Saccharomyces cerevisiae S288C: one gene and its partners. The protein of the gene in region 1 purifies or fractionates together with the protein of each later gene. This does not show direct contact. Each region holds a gene or a part of one and is shown in the gene's direction. Other genes may lie near its edges.

The links. Proteins that work in one complex are often made in the same cells at the same time.
Region 2: the proteins of SEC21 (region 1) and EMP47 purify together in Saccharomyces cerevisiae (affinity purification with western blotting; 2 studies listed by BioGRID, with this or other methods). This does not show direct contact.
Region 3: the proteins of SEC21 (region 1) and SEC26 purify together in Saccharomyces cerevisiae (affinity purification with mass spectrometry; 4 studies listed by BioGRID). This does not show direct contact.

What each region holds. Positions count from the first base shown.
Region 1 is NC_001146.8:89,230-96,013, forward strand, and holds SEC21 (coatomer subunit gamma), read left to right. Parts: upstream 1-2,764; coding exon 2,765-5,572; downstream 5,573-6,784. Other genes in the region: CCR4-NOT core subunit CAF40, read left to right, coding at 1,074-2,195; U2 snRNP complex subunit CUS2, read left to right, coding at 5,994-6,784. UniProt on the Saccharomyces cerevisiae protein: The coatomer is a cytosolic protein complex that binds to dilysine motifs and reversibly associates with Golgi non-clathrin-coated vesicles, which further mediate biosynthetic protein transport from the ER, via the Golgi up to the trans Golgi network.
Region 2 is NC_001138.5:37,363-42,586, reverse strand, and holds EMP47 (Emp47p), read left to right. Parts: upstream 1-2,406; coding exon 2,407-3,744; downstream 3,745-5,224. Other genes in the region: GTPase-activating protein RGD2, read right to left, coding at 22-2,166; SWP82 (Swp82p), read right to left, coding at 3,913-5,224. UniProt on the Saccharomyces cerevisiae protein: Involved in the secretion of glycoproteins and in nucleus architecture and gene silencing. Required for the endoplasmic reticulum exit of EMP46.
Region 3 is NC_001136.10:936,415-943,350, reverse strand, and holds SEC26 (coatomer subunit beta), read left to right. Parts: upstream 1-2,534; coding exon 2,535-5,456; downstream 5,457-6,936. Other genes in the region: YDR239C (uncharacterized protein), read left to right, coding at 1-2,294; mitochondrial 54S ribosomal protein uL5m MRPL7, read right to left, coding at 5,858-6,736. UniProt on the Saccharomyces cerevisiae protein: The coatomer is a cytosolic protein complex that binds to dilysine motifs and reversibly associates with Golgi non-clathrin-coated vesicles, which further mediate biosynthetic protein transport from the ER, via the Golgi up to the trans Golgi network.

The sequences.
Region 1 (6,784 bases):
TGTGCACCAGTCTGAACATGGATGCCACAAGTACTCAGGTGTCCTATGAAGCATTAAGTATACCCAAATTTCTGATCCATTTTCCTTTATTTTCTTTTTTTTTTTTCTCTCACATCTGTGACTGTATTATGAGCAAACTGTTTACGTTGAACGGAATCGATATGTAAATTAAATCTTTTGAAATATGTAGGACAGTGCTTGTATAGGTCTGTTAAGTAGATTATAGAATGTACGCCTTTTTTCTGGGCGTGAAATAGATCAGAAATCCTGTTAGGTTGCCACTGGTCCATTTCAGTGTTGCTCATCCAATCAATCATGTATTTACATGCCTGGAGTGGCCTATTCTATGTATTAACAGCCTTTGCAAGACGCGACATTGTTCTTTCCGATATGGCTCGGAGTAGACTAAATATGCTACTTATAGTTTTTCTTGCGTATACCATTGTCTTATAGTTTTTGCACACATTAATGTTTAAAATTGAAACTACGAAGCAAAACAATAAAAAAAACAAACAAAACTTAAAAATAAACAAAAGACGCTCGAAACCAAGTGCATTTATTGAATGTTTTTGGGAATGCAAGTAGCAATACTATTGTAAAAGTACTACTATTTCCCTGTATCATACGCTTTTACTACTATTCCTCACATAAAGCGAGATGCTTACAGAATGCATAAGAGAGAGAAGAAAACCCTATTACGCCCACTTGTCTATATTAGATTACTGTCCCTATTTATATCATCATTGCAAAACGTGAGCACCTCATTAGACGTAGATTCTTGCATAAGTATTACTAGCAGGAGAGGAAAAACTCCACCCACACACCTCAACATGCTGAGAATTTTGCTGCGAGCAGCAAGAGGCAAAATCCAAATTTAAAGTAATTTACGCATAGAAGACATTGTAAAGGGATTGCAAAGACGTAGAGTACGCAAGTTAGAAACCGTTCATCTTTTAAAACTCCCAAGTTTTGACAAATTTGCGAGTGTGTGTGTTTCTGCTGATCTTGACGAGATTAAACTTTGTTCCTGAAGCAACAACGACAGCAACTGAACATCCTCTGAATAAGTTAATATGTTTTCCGCTCAAAAGCCAATATATGGCAATGGAGCAGGCGTGAACATGGGTGGTGGTGGTCCTTCAACTAATAATCCAGGATCTATGTCCATGCCTGGGGTTCCAACTTCAATGGGTCCAGGCATGAATCAACAAATTCCAAGTGGAGGCCCCATGCTAATGGGCAATACTCCGAATAATAATAATAGCAATGAAAATGGCGAGAACAACGGCAATAACGGCAATAACGGCGGTAACGATGCTAACGCAACTCGAAACAATCCCAACATGGTCAATAATAGAGGCGCAGTGCATGCTCTAGATGATCCCAATGTATACCACTGGATTTGTCAATTGACCTACGGCCCTCAAAAGGAACAAGCACTGCTTGAATTAGGTCGCAAAAGAGAACAGTTTGATGACCTTGCCGTTGTGCTTTGGTCTTCCTTTGGTGTAATGACCTCATTGCTGAACGAAATCATTTCCGTATATCCCATGCTGCAACCTCAGATGCTCTCTAACAATCTATCAAATCGTGTATGCAACGCTCTAGTTCTTCTACAGTGTGTTGCATCTCACCCAGAGACAAAACATCTCTTTTTACAGGCCCATATTCCTCTCTTTCTTTTCCCCTTCCTAAATACTACCTCCAGGCAAAGAACTTTTGAGTACTTGAGATTGACTTCATTAGGTGTGATAGGCGCATTGGTCAAAAATGACTCACAAGACGTAATAACGTTTTTGCTAAGAACCGATATCGTGCCGTTATGCCTAAGGATCATGGAATCTTCTTCTGAGCTTTCCAAGACAGTCGCCATTTTCATTTTACAGAAAATCCTACTAGATGACGTTGGATTGCAATACATCTGTGCCACCTTGGAAAGGTTCTACGCCGTAACTAATGTCTTAAAAGATATGGTTGAGCACTTGACCGTGAGCACACCACCGGGACGACTACTGAAACATATCATTAGATGCTACTTAAGATTAAGCGACGATCTCGAAGCACGCAGGCTATTGAAAATAGTCTTACCTGCCAAACTGAGAGATAACACTTTTACGGAAGTACTAAGAGACGACGTCGGGTCCAAGAGATGTCTGGCACAATTGCTACTGACATTAAACGAAGAAACCTCATGATGCATCCCCATAGATATATTACTGTTTTTCTCTTTCTATTTTCCTGTATTGTTTTAACCTTGCCTTTTTGTTTTAGTTTCACTTCCTCACCTCTCCTAATTTTGTATAGTTATATTTATATGCATGAAATGTATAAAGTCCACTCATATTTCAGAATGGTTTAAGTTAAGTGCCAGAAGGTTCTTCTGTACTATTACTATTACCCATTTTTCATCCTATCACCCGGAATGTACCCCTTGTGTCATTCACTACGACGCCACGAACCACGATTCTATTTTTTTCGAAATCTAAAGGTTTCGTCAAGATCAATGAAATATACATAGGCGTTTTTTTGGATACGAGTTGCATTGTTGAGAACACAATTCTTTACAAATAAGTGCAAGGGAGGAATTGTGTGTGCTCATTACCAACGTACTTCTTCAGTTATTCTGCTAAACCCGTTTTTTTGTTCTTAGCTTCATCCAGGTGAGCCCGCAAACATTACAGAACGACGTATAATACAAAATAACTAAACAAATACGGATAGGACAAAAGCCAAGAAGCGATACTAAATCACAGAGCGAATCAACATGTCTGCACATACTTACAAAAAGTTTGAAAACTCGACCTCGGGCGATTTACCTGATAAAATGACCATTTATCAGGATTGTATGAACACGTTTAACGAATCACCTGTCAATTCCAAGAGATGTCGTTTATTGATTTCTCGCTTGCTGAGACTCTTGGCCCAGGGCGAAACCTTCCCACAGAATGAAGCAACTGCATTATTTTTCTCTATCTCCAAATTATTTCAACACCAGAACGATCCTTTAAGGCAGGCTGTTTATTTGGCAATCAAGGAATTGAGTGGCATTTCGGAGGATGTGTTGATGGCAACCTCTTCAATCATGAAGGACGTTCAAAACGGTTCCGATTTGATTAAGCCTGACGCTATTAGATCGCTGACTTATGTCTTGGATGAATCTACTGCTTTTTCCGCTGAAAGGTTATTAAAAAGTGCCGTGGTAAGTAGACATCCTTCAATATCCTCAGCAGCATTATGTACTTCTTATCATTTGCTGCCCATTTCAGAAGTCACTATCAGAAGATTCACCAATGAAACTCAAGAAGCTGTTTTGGATTTGAAACAATTTCCAAATCAACACGGTAATAGCGAATATTATCCAAACTCCACTTATATTTCTCAATATCATGCTCTTGGGTTGCTTTATCAACTGAAGAAAACTGATAAAATGGCGTTACTAAAATTGGTTAGACATTTCTCTGAAAACAATTCTATGAAAAATCAATTGGCCAAGGTAGAATTGGTCAAGATTGTCAACGATTTGATTTATAGGGATCCTCAATTATTTAGTCAATTCAGGCCACTTTTGTCTGATTGGCTATCCAACAAGTTCGAATCTGTTCAGTTGGAAACGGCGAAATTGATTACTTCTTTCGCTACTCGCAATTCCCGCTTAGTGGCTCCCGAGTTATATGCGGCAGCTATCAGTGCTTTACAGTCCTTACTGACCGTTCCTCGTGTTTCTTCTAGATTCGCTGCATTGAGAATCTTAAATAGAATATCCATGGTTTCACCAGAAAAGATTGTTGTTTGTAATCCTGAACTAGAATCTTTAATTAATGATTCTAATAGAAACATTTCTACTTATGCAATCACCACTTTATTGAAGACAGGAACTTCCAAAAATATTTCATCTCTGATTTCGACTATTACTAATTTTATCCATGATGTCAGTGATGACTTTAAGATCATTATTATTGACGCCGTTCGTACGTTGTCTTTGAACTTCCCACAGGAATGGAAGTCAATTTTGAACTTCTTAATCGATGTTTTGAAAAATAGTGAAGGTGGATTCAAATTTAAAAACAGTATTGTCGAAGCATTAATCGATATTGTTTCATTTGTTCCACAGTCTAAAGAACTCGCCTTAGAAAACTTGTGTGATTTCATCGAGGATTGTGAATTCAACGAAATACTAGTGAGAATACTACATCTTTTGGGTAAAGAAGGTCCATCTGCCCCAAATCCATCATTATATGTTAGACATATTTATAACAGAGTGGTGTTGGAAAATTCTATTATTAGATCTGCTGCCGTTGTAGCTTTATCTAAGTTTGCTTTGACGAAGAACGATCCTACCTTATATGAGTCAATCATAAGTTTGTTAAAGAGAATCGCTAATGATAAAGACGATGAAGTCAGAGACAGAGCCACCATTGCACTAGAATTCATTGATTCGGCTAGGAATAAAGATGATGTTATAGCACAAAATCTAATCGAATCCAAATATTTTTACGATATTCCATCATTAGAGTCAAAATTAAGTTCTTACATTTCCTCAAATACTGATTCATTTGCAACTGCATTTGATGTGAATCAAGTTCGTAAGTTTACTGAGGATGAAATGAAGGCAATAAATCTGAAGAGAAAGCAAGAACAAATTTTCAATCAAAAGTCTGAAACCACTTTGGATACTACACCAGAGGCAGAGAGTGTTCCAGAAAAAAGAGCTGACGCTAATTCATTTGCTGGTCCAAACTTGGACGACCACCAAGAAGATCTACTAGCTACTAAGTACGCTGACGAATTGCTATCCATTGAACAAATTAAACCATTTGGTCAATTAGTAAATAGTTCTAGGGCTATCTCATTAACTGAGCCAGAAGCAGAATTCGTTGTACGTGGTGTCAAACATCTCTTCAAAGACAATGTTGTTTTACAATTTAATATTACGAATACTCTGACGGATATTGCCCTAGACAATGTTTCTGTAGTCTGTACCCCTGAAATTTCTGATGAAGCTGAATTAGAAGAGCTATTCACCCTACAAGTGGACAGATTATTACCATCCGAGGAAGCAGCTTGTTACGTTGCATTCAAAAAACTTGATGAAATTGTAATGGAAGGTTTCTTGAACAACTTAACATTCACTACAAAAGAAATAAACCCTGACACTAATGAGCCATTTGATGGTGATGAAGGTTTCCAAGATGAATATGAAATTGACTCGATTTTCTTGAATGCTGGTGATTATGTTAAGAGTTCTTTCACTGGTAACTTCTCCGCTACATTTGATGAGTTGCCATGCGAAGAAGTTGCTGTTTTCAACATTCAAGAAGATTTATCCATACAAGAAGTAGTAGATAAGATTATTTTGAACAGTAGCTGCTTACCGGTGGAAAGTACCCAATTTGCTCCAAGTGATTCAAACTCCCACACCTTGAAATTATTTGGTAAGAGTGCTTTAACTGGATCTAAAGTAGCCCTACAGATTAAGATGATCAAGAGTTCGAAAGGTCTTGCTTTGAAAGTTCATGGTAAAGGTGAAGACAGCTTATTATGCTCTGATCTGGTGAATGGTCTAATGCAGTAAGCTGTGAAATTTTATTTCAGTTAATCCCTTCTTTTGTTATCAATAGTATTAAAAGAAATGCGTCAGCTTTAGCAAGCGTGCATGCAAATAAGGGAATGAACAGCAAGAACAATAATAAACCAAAAAAATCACGGATAGAATATGACGGATCATCACCACACGAAGAATAAATTATGTAATCTTTGTATAAACAAAATTTTTAAAGAAAAATACTATAATAGTTTGACAAGAGAAAACGAAATGGAAGAAACAGGACAACAGGGCAGAAAAAAGTTGACATTATGCAATTGATGAAAGAAGAAGAAGAAAAAAAACAAAAAAAAAGCACTAGTCTGACCAGGCATATTGTAAAAGGCTGCAGACCCTTGAACGCACTACACTTTTCACTGTATTCCGTTACCAACATTACTGTTTGACAGCGATGGATGCTGATGAATTGGAATTGAAAGGTCATTTGAAAAAATTGAAAAAAGAAGAATTGCTTAGAAGGAAACAGTTAAAAGAGAGTAATCTTCAGAAAAGAGAGCTTGAATATAATAATGCCTCAAAAAATACTTCAATATATATTTCTGGTCTTCCCACAGACAAAACAACGAAAGAAGGACTCACTGAGCAGTTTTGCAAGTATGGAATGATAAGAACCAATCGAGATGGGGAACCCCTTTGCAAGCTATATGTGAATGATAAAGGCGCTTTCAAAGGGGATGCCTTGATCACTTATTCCAAGGAAGAAAGTGTTACATTAGCAATCGAAATGATGAACGAGTCGATCTTCCTGGGAAAACAGATCAGGGTCGAAAGAGCCCAATTTCAAAACAAGGAAGGTGACAATATGCACGGGAAAGAAAATGATTTAAAGGAGTTCAACGGACCTGAGCCTCCAATAAAGAGGCTAAAAAAAGCGAAGTCTGAAGGGGAGGGGGAAGTAATAGATTACAATGACGATGAAAGCCTAGCAAAAGCTGATCGAACGGTGATATTTGCCAACGTATTCAATATTTACAAATCATACACAAATGATGATATAAATGATATTCAGGAAGATCTTTTGGAAGGCTGTGAAGAGATAGGTCAAGTAGACAGTATATCTGTATCTCCCAATAAGGGGGAAGCGACGGTCGTCTTTAAGAACAATAAAGTTGCATTGCAATGTTGCAAAATCATGACCGGACGTTATTTTGATGGGCAAAAGTTGCTTGCTTTCATTTCTGG
Region 2 (5,224 bases), on another chromosome or scaffold:
ACAAATCTATATCGCCTAGTCCTAATTTTTTGAATTTTGCCTTTTCAATTCGTGAAAAATCTGTTTCTTATGTGTCAGTAGATCATAGAAAATCTTAAAACCAATTTCATTATCATCGGTGATCTTTGACTGGATAATACAATTGGCAAATTCTTGTGAAATTGAGACGGTAAACTCATCTGCTACTTCATTACCGTTCTCTCCCATTTTCAGAATTTTAATTAATCTGTAAAAATGAGTTGTAATAGCGTCTAGTGTCGCTATGTGTGGTTTGCTTAGAGAGGACAGAGTAGTATAAAGGCCTCTTATTCTCTTGGTATCAAAGCCTTCTTCGTTGTCATCGTCCTGCTGATTCTCGGGAGATGATGTAGAATTTTGCAACGCAGTTTCAACTAAAGGTGGATAGTCAAGGTAAAGCACCCGAAGAATATCAGAGACATCATTGGGAATTAGTGGGTCTGGTAATTCTAATAAATAAATTTTAACAACACTGGCGATGGTGCTTGGCTCCAACTTGGACGTAGAAAGTATATCAAATATTTCCCCTTCGTTGTGGAACTGTTGTTTGTTCAATAGGTTTCGAAGCTGATGTGTTAAACTTAATTTCACCGAATCAGTCCAAATTGAAGTTCTTACTTTATCATTAGGTAAGTCAGGATATATTTTGTCCATATATGAGAATATCGAAGAAATTATCAACGGAACGACTTTCTTGTCTAGTCTACAACGAGTTTCTAGATCAACACCAAAGTTTTGAAATGAACCAGGATTGTAGTAATTATTATAAACAATGGCTTGCGGCTTGAAACTGCCCGTCTTGTACTTAACTAAAAGTTGCAAAAGGTCTGCAGTGGGATCAATATCGTTTTCTAGCGTGAGCATTTTATCTATGCACAGTCTTAACGAAGAAATCTTGTTACCCAAGGTAGAACAAAAATCTAGTGTCGCTTTCTTGATCGCATTCAGTCTATCGGACTCACATTTTTCCATAAACGACAAATGGTCAATCAACAACTCCTCAACCGAGCATCTCAAGGCATCCATCTTGAAGCACTCCTGGTAATACTTCTTATCTGACGCTGCAAGCGCATCCATCATTCTGAAAAGCGTCCTTTCATTATCGGATATATGCGGAGCTTGGATCTTCGCTGCCCCCTGGTCGTTACCAATCTTGGATTGAATAATTTCCTTTGCAGATGAACCATCCCAGTTGTTGAACCGGGATATTAAGGATTCACCAGTGGTAGGCTCCTCTGAACCGGGCATTGGCACATTGGCAAACATGTACGCGGTATTCTTCCATTGGTATTGAAATTTTTTAGAGTTGACAAATGTATTACCAACACCGTTGCAATATTTCAAAAACCCTAAATTCAACAAATCTTGGCCAAACGTTTCAGCTTGATCAATATCCTTTAACGACATGTGGTCAAGCAGAAACTTCGTTATTTCTCCACCATTGTTGGTGTTGCTCAAAGAATAACTAATGAGAGGTAGCTTATAGTCCGTTTTAGGAAGCTTGGTCAGTAACAGCTGAAGCGTCTCCTTCATTGTCTTATAATCAAAATCTATTCCCGCTATCCTGTTGAAAAATCTGTGATCCTTTTCCCTGGCCACATCTTCTTCGTATTTATTTTGTATTTTCAATGATTTCATTGCATTTGCTAGCTCATCTTCGTTGAAATGAGTTCTTTTAAATTCTTCTAGCTGCCTACATTTATTAAAATATTCCTTCTCCAGCTTACCGACGTACTTTTTAGACTTCCTGAAATTATTTACATTGGTCAACAAAGTCTTCTCGGAGTATTGAATTCTCTCCCTATGTTCTATGCACCATTTACTGAATGGCTGCAGCACCAAACTTTCTATGTTCGACGCTATTGTCAAGTGATGCGTCCCTTCCTGAGACATTTCCTGTAGAATTCCCCTCAGGGCCCTCGAAACTGTCACCCCTTCATCTTCATCTTCCTGCACTGCCTTCAGATTGTCCATACCGGCTTCTATACCAAACAACTGCCTCCCGTGACTGACTTCAAATTGCATTCTTGACGCAAATAATTGAATGAACAAGTCGCATTGCTCACAACCATGGTATAATCTATCAAAAAGCACATCTAGACCTGAGACAAGGTCTTCAGACCAAAAATAGTCGCAAAATGATAGCATGCTCGCTTGCAGGTGTACAACATCTATTACAATTCAACGGAATATTATTCCTGTTTCATAATATTTCAATTTCCATCTATTATTGTCATTACGTCTTGGTATCACTATACACGAGTAGAGAAACAGTATGAACTCTTAAGAATGTTTTTGATCTTTTAATAGAAGCCTTAATTGGTATTGAATAATTATAATTATACCAATAAAATTAACAAATAGTTAGCATCAGGGAATTTGTATTTTATGATGATGTTAATTACTATGAAAAGTACAGTACTGTTGAGTGTTTTTACCGTCTTAGCGACATGGGCTGGATTGCTAGAAGCTCATCCATTGGGTGACACTTCAGATGCATCCAAATTAAGCTCAGACTACTCGCTCCCTGATCTCATTAATGCACGTAAAGTGCCCAATAACTGGCAAACTGGAGAACAAGCTAGTCTAGAGGAAGGGAGAATTGTATTGACTTCTAAGCAAAATTCCAAGGGTTCACTTTGGTTGAAGCAAGGATTCGATTTGAAGGATTCTTTTACTATGGAGTGGACATTTAGGAGTGTTGGTTATTCTGGCCAAACCGACGGTGGCATATCATTTTGGTTTGTTCAAGATTCTAACGTACCACGCGATAAGCAGTTATACAATGGGCCAGTGAACTATGATGGTTTACAATTATTAGTGGATAACAATGGTCCATTGGGCCCAACACTTCGTGGTCAACTAAATGATGGTCAAAAGCCTGTAGATAAGACGAAAATCTATGATCAGAGTTTTGCATCTTGTTTGATGGGTTATCAGGATTCCTCCGTTCCTTCCACGATCAGAGTAACTTATGATTTGGAAGACGACAACTTATTAAAAGTTCAGGTGGACAATAAAGTCTGTTTCCAAACTAGGAAGGTTCGCTTTCCCTCTGGGTCTTACCGTATTGGTGTCACCGCTCAAAATGGAGCAGTGAATAATAATGCAGAGTCTTTTGAAATATTCAAAATGCAATTTTTTAATGGCGTGATTGAAGATTCTTTGATCCCTAATGTGAATGCAATGGGTCAGCCAAAACTGATCACCAAATACATTGACCAACAAACCGGCAAAGAAAAATTGATTGAAAAAACAGCATTTGACGCTGACAAAGACAAAATTACAAACTATGAATTGTATAAGAAACTGGATAGAGTTGAAGGTAAAATTCTTGCGAACGATATCAATGCTTTAGAAACAAAGCTAAATGATGTCATTAAGGTCCAACAAGAGCTATTATCATTCATGACTACGATAACTAAACAGCTCTCTTCTAAGCCACCAGCTAATAATGAAAAGGGAACGTCCACCGATGATGCAATCGCTGAGGATAAAGAAAATTTCAAAGACTTCTTATCAATCAATCAGAAATTGGAGAAAGTCCTGGTTGAACAAGAAAAGTATAGGGAAGCTACCAAACGTCATGGACAAGATGGTCCTCAGGTCGACGAAATTGCCAGAAAACTAATGATTTGGTTACTTCCATTAATTTTCATTATGTTGGTTATGGCATATTACACATTCAGAATCAGACAAGAGATCATAAAGACCAAACTGCTATGATTTTGGATTATTCCTTCCACTCAAACCAATTGTGCACATGCATTCCCTATATATGTATATATATGTAACAATACATATTTTATAAAATAACGAACGATAGTTTATATTACTACTTCAACAATGGTTTATTTCTTATTGGAGTGTTCCCTACATTATGTTTTACTTCTTTCAATTATTCATAGCTACTTCGTTGCTGAAGTTAGCCAGGTTGTCCGGTTTAGCGGCGACCGGATCCGTCGCCACCACTGGATTAGCATTTGTGTTCTTTACTTCAGTGTCCAGCTTAACAGCCGTTTTATCCCCAGCGACATTTTGTGGTACTTTGTTCACATGAGAATAAATGTATGGAGGTTTAAAATCCTTAATGTTACAATTTCCTAGGAAGTTTGGGTTCGGTACCCTCTTTGTTGTTATTGTTTCATCCGTATTCGTTATTTCGTTAAAATTTGTAGTAACACTCGTTTGCGCCAACACATCTTTCAAATATTTATTTTTGAATTCATCCAATTGAGACCGTTTCAAACCGATAGGAATACCTGCCTTGTACTGCCAGTACTTTTTCCATTTTTTTGTCCTAACTTTTCTAACGTTCTGCAAACCGGTATTAACAAAAACGGCATCGTGTAAATGCTCTAGTTCTTTAATTTCGTTCGGTGTCAGCTGTTTCAACCTTTCTAGCAGCGTGTTTTTTTCATATAACGGCAATCCTCTATAATATTGCTGTTTACCTGAATTCTCGGCGGATTTTAATGGCAAAGATTCAAATTTCCAGCCGTTTATGTTTAACGATGTATTATTTTTGTGTTGGCCCTTGTTCATGGGTTTTATCATTTCGTTCTCCTCAGACTTCTTGTTTTTTGATGAGGAAACGTTAATATCAAGAATGCTACTTAGCATTCGTTTGATTGGTTTATTGCTAGGATTGACAGATGGAATATGGTTAGGAAGTGAAATTGAAGCGGAACCATCAGGAGCTTGACTTTCATATTGCGCAAGTAATTCTTCATGTCTTCCGATTGGTATGTCCATTGCCTTCATTTGCAGAGCTTGTTGAAATGAGTTTTTGCTGTGATAACGCGGTACTCTAAATTGTGCACTGAGTTCCAATGTTCCACTAATGCTTTGACCAGGAACAATTGCCGAAATGTGCTCACCTTTGGCAAAGTTTTCAATATAGGCTTCTCTAATCTCCGCTGACGGTTGTTCCGTGACTATTGGATACTGTGATTCGAATTTTGAAGTAGAAATCGTACAGGTATTATTAGTGTTCGCACTAATTTCATTGGCATTGCTAATCCTGTTATTTTGGAAGGAGGGGCGTAAAAGTGAGATTTTAGAAATTAAATTTGTTGATAATTTGAAAACCCTTTGGTGAGACGACAAATTTTGCTTTTTAGCTAAAGATTCCCAATAATCATCAACGATGCGTTGACCACCGGCAATAACAGAAGCACCGAATTCAACAAAGGCTGACCTGGCA
Region 3 (6,936 bases), on another chromosome or scaffold:
ACAATGACTCTGAAAAATCCGTTAGAAAGCCATCGGTGCCCTCTACAATAAAGAAATCAACAAATATCGCACGAACTTCGACGGCTGAAACTTCTGCCCCTGATATACCGCCAAGAAGTCCAAATAGGAATGCTCATAGCAGGAGCCATTCTATCCAGGCACCATTACAAAAGGAAACATTAAAGAATACTAATCCATTTTTGAATGCTGAGGATACCTTAGGAGATTCTCTTGAATTAACACAGTCCAAGGAAGCGTCAGGAAACGATCACAAAGGAATTGAATATTTACAAGAAAACAACATCATTGGGCAGAGAACCAACCCCTTCACAACAAGCGCAAATTCAAATGCACATTTCTCCAAGATAAAACGTTCGAGGCCTCCACCACCGCCTATGGACATGAAGTCAATAACAACGTCAATAAGCAACAATACTACTAAGGAAGAAATAGAGAGTAATAATGATTCTGAGCGGGATAGTATTGCAATCTCATCCACCCACAATCAACATAGGCGGCAGCGTTCAGAAGCAGAAAAGTTGGTAGATGATATTGAAAATTACATTAATGAACACAAGGTAAGTTCCGGTAGCTCACTATCCCTAGACACGTCTGAAAACTCAGATACTAAAGCATCGCAAGATAAGTTGCCAGTAGATGTCATGGAAGCTCCCATTTTGAGAAATGTCAGCGCGGAGAGTTCCTTAAGCTACGTAAAACCACTTATTGTGGATAATGAAGAAGTAAATAAAGCAAGTAACGGAAATTTAGTACAATCAGATCATCTAAAAGAATTTTCTTCGAATCTGGATGATGGGGATGATAAATTTTCCTTTAGTACATCGGCTAGTGGTAAATCCACCAAAAGCCTTCAGCAAGTTTCTAAAGACGAATCTAGTGGTTTTAAAGCTGCACATTTTGATTTTGCATATAAATCAAATGAGCACCTTGGGAGTGATGGAAGTATTGCAAGCGCCAGAAAGCCTCTGCGGATAACTAATGAGATTGATAGCGGTTCTTCCAACGAGGATGATGATGATGGTCTTCAGGAAAAAGGTTTTGTGGATAGTGAAAGTAAAGCATTTATAAATTACGCAAGTGATCAAGGCTCATCTATAAAAAATGACGTCTCAACACAAGAGCCTGAGTTACCAAGTCATCGTAGAATATTTAGGGTGGTTAATGAAGATCGCCCTAGTTTCTATTTAAATAGTGTAAACGATACGGGCAGTCTAACCGACAAGCATTCTTTTGACACTGCATCATCTGGTGAGTATGATGCCAAGTCAAACTTCTCTAGCCAGTCAGGACTTTCTATATCAAAAGGCTCTAAATCAACTGTTTTGGCTGCTCTTGACTCAAACGGAAACACAAAATCATCAAATAAAACATCCGAGTTAAACAGTTTAAACTCCATTTCAGAAAGTTTAGTGCCGGCTGCTCACTCGTTCAATGAACACACAGTTACTATCCCTGCAACGGTGGATTTACCAAATCCGGTACATGATGCCCCAAGCGAAAGATCTGTCAAATGTTCACCGTTAACATCTGTCGTATCGAACAAATCGGAAAAGTCCGTGCCTTTGGTTTCTAGTTACGTAGAAGAACTGCGACTAAAGTATTACAAGACTTCTAACTTTTTACAAGCGCCTCCTAACTTGCCGGTTGCTCTAAAACAAAAAAATAATTTGATTCAACCCAAGAATATTAAGGTCAAGTTGAGGACAAGTTCTAAGCAAATTGGTATCAAGCATGGTAAAGTTAAACAGAAATTACTGGCGTTGGAGACAAGAAATGAAGAATCAGATGGAACCGCTACAGGGCTGAAAAATAAAATCAATGTTGACCACACAAAGGAATTCCATAAATTGTTAGGGAAGGAAAATGAAACTGGCTCTATTTCAAAAAAAGAAGGCACTGACGCAGAACAAGCCGAAGACTACCTCAAGGACATACCCGGTGATGAAGCATATAACAGTGATGATATAATGGCGCCTTTACGAGAAAAAAGAGGGCAAAACGGTTCTGTTGATTCCGTGTCAAGATCTAACACGGTAGTCAGCTACTACACAAGGTCTCAGAACAGAATGAGAAGTGGAACACTGGATAATGATTACGTGAACAGACAAAAGCTTCCTACACATATCTCTCTTCAAGATTATCGTGATGCTAATGCTAGAAGTAATATATCGCGTCAGGACTCTGTCTCCACAACGAACTCTGATGTGGTAGACCTCAGCTATTCTCTGGGGCATGGCTTGCGTGTGGCAAACCCTGATTCAGACCCAGAATGATATCCTTCTCTGTAGTTTTGTAGATGTCATATATGTACGTTTATGGAACAGCATTTTAGAAAAGTATTACCCAGCTTATCACTTCGTTTTTTTTTTCTTTCCGTGTACTCGCTACACGTAGAAAGAAATCAGAAAACAACAGCTCGACAAGTGAAATTTGACGTTCATTAAGACTCAGTTAAGATTGCCTTGAGAATAAACAAAAGTAATCACAGTTAACTATTGAACAAGAGTGCACCTATGACTTCACTTTCTTCACAGCCAGCGTACACGTTGGTTTTCGATCCTTCTCCGAGTATGGAGACTTACTCGAGTACCGATTTTCAGAAAGCTCTTGAAAAGGGATCTGATGAACAAAAAATTGACACGATGAAATCAATTTTAGTTACAATGCTGGAAGGAAATCCAATGCCTGAATTGTTGATGCACATAATAAGATTTGTCATGCCTTCTAAAAATAAGGAATTAAAAAAGCTTTTGTACTTCTACTGGGAAATTGTTCCCAAACTAGCTGAAGATGGAAAATTGAGACATGAAATGATTCTTGTCTGTAATGCCATTCAACACGATTTGCAACATCCTAATGAATATATTAGAGGTAACACATTAAGGTTTTTAACGAAATTGAGAGAGGCCGAACTCTTAGAACAGATGGTTCCCTCTGTCTTAGCGTGCTTGGAATACCGTCATGCATATGTTCGTAAGTATGCAATCCTAGCAGTTTTCTCCATTTTCAAGGTCAGCGAACATTTACTTCCCGATGCTAAAGAAATCATCAATTCGTTCATAGTAGCTGAAACTGATCCAATATGTAAAAGAAATGCATTTATTGGGTTAGCTGAATTAGATCGTGAAAATGCCTTACACTATTTAGAGAACAATATTGCTGATATAGAAAACCTAGACCCTTTATTACAAGCTGTCTTTGTTCAATTTATCAGACAAGATGCAAACAGGACCCCTGCTTTGAAAGCCCAATATATCGAATTATTGATGGAACTGCTTTCGACCACGACTTCCGATGAAGTCATCTTCGAGACCGCATTAGCCCTAACTGTGTTGTCTGCCAATCCAAATGTCTTGGTTCCTGCGGTTAACAAATTGATTGACTTGGCCGTCAAGGTTTCTGATAATAACATTAAGTTAATTGTTCTAGACCGTATTCAAGACATCAATGCTAATAACGTAGGTGCTTTGGAAGAGTTAACCCTGGATATTTTGAGAGTCTTGAATGCAGAAGATTTAGACGTTCGTTCAAAGGCGCTTGATATTTCAATGGACTTGGCCACATCCAGAAATGCTGAAGATGTTGTTCAGCTTTTGAAGAAAGAGCTGCAAACAACCGTAAATAACCCAGATCAAGACAAGGCAATGCAGTACAGACAATTGTTAATAAAAACTATTCGTACCGTGGCTGTAAACTTTGTAGAAATGGCAGCAAGTGTTGTTTCGCTATTATTAGATTTCATCGGTGATTTAAACTCGGTTGCCGCCAGTGGTATCATTGCCTTTATCAAAGAAGTGATCGAAAAATACCCACAACTTAGAGCCAATATCCTTGAAAACATGGTTCAAACGCTAGACAAAGTGAGATCTGCTAAAGCTTACCGCGGTGCATTATGGATTATGGGTGAGTATGCTGAAGGAGAAAGTGAGATACAACATTGTTGGAAGCACATTCGTAACAGCGTAGGTGAAGTTCCTATCCTTCAATCAGAAATCAAAAAGTTAACACAAAACCAAGAACACACCGAAGAAAATGAGGTTGACGCTACCGCCAAGCCAACTGGTCCAGTTATTCTACCAGACGGTACGTATGCCACTGAAAGCGCTTTCGATGTGAAGACTTCTCAAAAGTCAGTTACCGATGAAGAACGTGATTCTAGACCTCCAATTCGCCGGTTTGTTTTAAGTGGTGATTTCTACACAGCTGCCATTCTGGCCAACACCATCATTAAACTTGTTTTAAAATTCGAAAACGTTTCCAAGAACAAAACTGTCATCAATGCTCTAAAGGCGGAAGCTTTACTAATTTTAGTTAGTATTGTAAGAGTGGGTCAAAGCTCTTTGGTGGAGAAAAAAATTGATGAAGATTCTTTAGAGAGAGTTATGACATCTATTTCTATTTTATTGGATGAAGTTAATCCTGAGGAAAAGAAGGAAGAAGTTAAACTTCTGGAGGTTGCATTCCTGGACACCACCAAATCCTCATTCAAGAGACAAATTGAAATTGCAAAGAAGAACAAGCATAAGAGAGCATTAAAAGACAGTTGCAAAAACATCGAACCAATTGATACGCCGATTTCTTTCAGGCAATTTGCTGGTGTGGATTCTACTAATGTGCAAAAAGATAGTATTGAAGAAGATTTACAACTGGCAATGAAAGGAGATGCAATCCACGCTACTAGCAGCTCTAGTATTTCGAAGCTGAAGAAGATAGTACCTTTATGTGGCTTTTCTGATCCAGTTTACGCCGAGGCTTGTATTACAAACAATCAATTTGACGTCGTATTAGATGTTCTTCTTGTTAATCAAACGAAAGAAACATTGAAAAACCTACATGTGCAATTTGCAACTCTTGGTGATTTGAAGATTATTGACACACCACAGAAGACCAACGTGATTCCTCATGGCTTCCACAAATTCACTGTTACTGTCAAAGTTTCCTCTGCTGACACAGGTGTCATTTTCGGTAATATTATTTATGATGGTGCGCATGGTGAAGATGCTCGTTATGTTATTTTAAACGACGTTCATGTTGACATTATGGATTATATCAAACCAGCCACTGCTGACGATGAACATTTCCGTACCATGTGGAATGCATTTGAGTGGGAGAACAAAATATCGGTCAAATCACAACTACCAACATTGCATGCTTATTTGAGAGAACTGGTCAAGGGAACTAATATGGGTATTCTAACACCATCAGAGTCGTTGGGAGAAGATGATTGTAGGTTCTTAAGTTGTAATCTGTATGCGAAGTCGTCCTTTGGTGAAGATGCCCTAGCCAACTTGTGTATCGAAAAGGATTCCAAAACCAATGATGTCATAGGTTATGTTCGTATCCGATCAAAGGGACAAGGTTTGGCTCTGTCCCTAGGTGACAGAGTGGCATTGATTGCTAAGAAGACCAATAAACTTGCTCTCACTCATGTTTGAACCACCCTGAGCTGATGCAATGTAAGTTATAATGTCAAAGGAGATAAGAATAAAACTTAAAAAATTCGAAAAGAAATAAAAAAATAAGGAAAATCTTTAAATAGATTTTAATTGCGTAGGAATCTTTGTTCTCATTTTTAAACAAGTATTCACTTTTATGTACATTTTCTTTCCTAAAAATCTTTATACAGAGTTGAGTTGTGAGTTGTGTAAGAGACGTCCAATTTTATAACAATTTGTAGACATCTCAGTGCCCCAAAGAGAACTATATGATTGAAAAATGGAGAGAGATAGTATCTTGTACAGTTTATATATTTACATGACGAATGGGAAATTATATATGCCCTTTGCCTTTCTGCCATAGAGCATGGCTAACTGGCCAGGACCATGAGATTGTATTCTTATTTCTCCTCTCCGAAAAATGGGAACTGGAACCCACTCAACAAAGTTCTCGCCTGGTAATCTAATTGAGCTGAGGTGTTTATATTTATGTGCATACCAAAAGTTTTAGGCCATGAGTCCTGGTTTGCATCGATTTCAGGGAAGAATTTGATATCTTCAGCCGTCAGGCCGAAACTAATCCCACCAAATCTGTTCCCAGACTGGTTGCTTATACCTTTATATTCTCTGATTCTTGGTAGGACGATTTCGGTCAATGTGCTTAAGAACTGAGACATTTCTTTTCCCTTTAGTTCGACTTTAGCTCCCATCTGATGACCTTTTCTCAGTTTCCAGGTTGGAACATCATTTTTGGAAAAAATTGGATGAGGTTTACATCCAGTAATTTGTTGTAATTGTAACGCAGCGGTGATAGCCAATAGCTGATTTTCTCTCGCTTCCCTAACAAAACAGTTTATTACAACACTTTCTAGCCCAGGAATGTTACTCCATTTGATAGGATGAATGTCAGGTAGTTGAGCTTTCGAACCTCGAGGATTTTTCGGTGGTCTGTTCAAGTGGTATGGCGAATCACCACTCCACGCTCTTTGTTTTAGACCCTTTACCACCGCAGCGTTATGTGAATAATTAATCAATAACAAATCAGATTGTAAAGTGTTAAGGTAATGGTCATTGAGTCTATCTGCATGAGTGTCTTTTGGTTTAAATCCAGGTGACCTAATATCACTTTTGTCATATTTCAATTCTGGAAATCTAGGGGATAACTTTGACTTATCAATTTTCACCAAGTGATGAACTGGTTTGACCAAAGAGCATGCAGATTTGGGCTTCACACAGGAGTGAGAGAATGATCTGTGAGTGACTAGTGAAAACCTTTGCATTTTGTTCGTGAATCTCGAGCCCTCTTCAAAGTGGTACAACTAAAAAAACAAAGGAGAGTATTTACACTATTTCCGGTCCTGTCTATTACTTTACAGATACCTCCCCAAATTAGTTATAAAATTCTAAACAGATGCTTTTCCTGTCTTTTTATTCTTCTGTTTTCGAAAGGCCCTTCGTAGATGATAGGTGATTTTGTCGT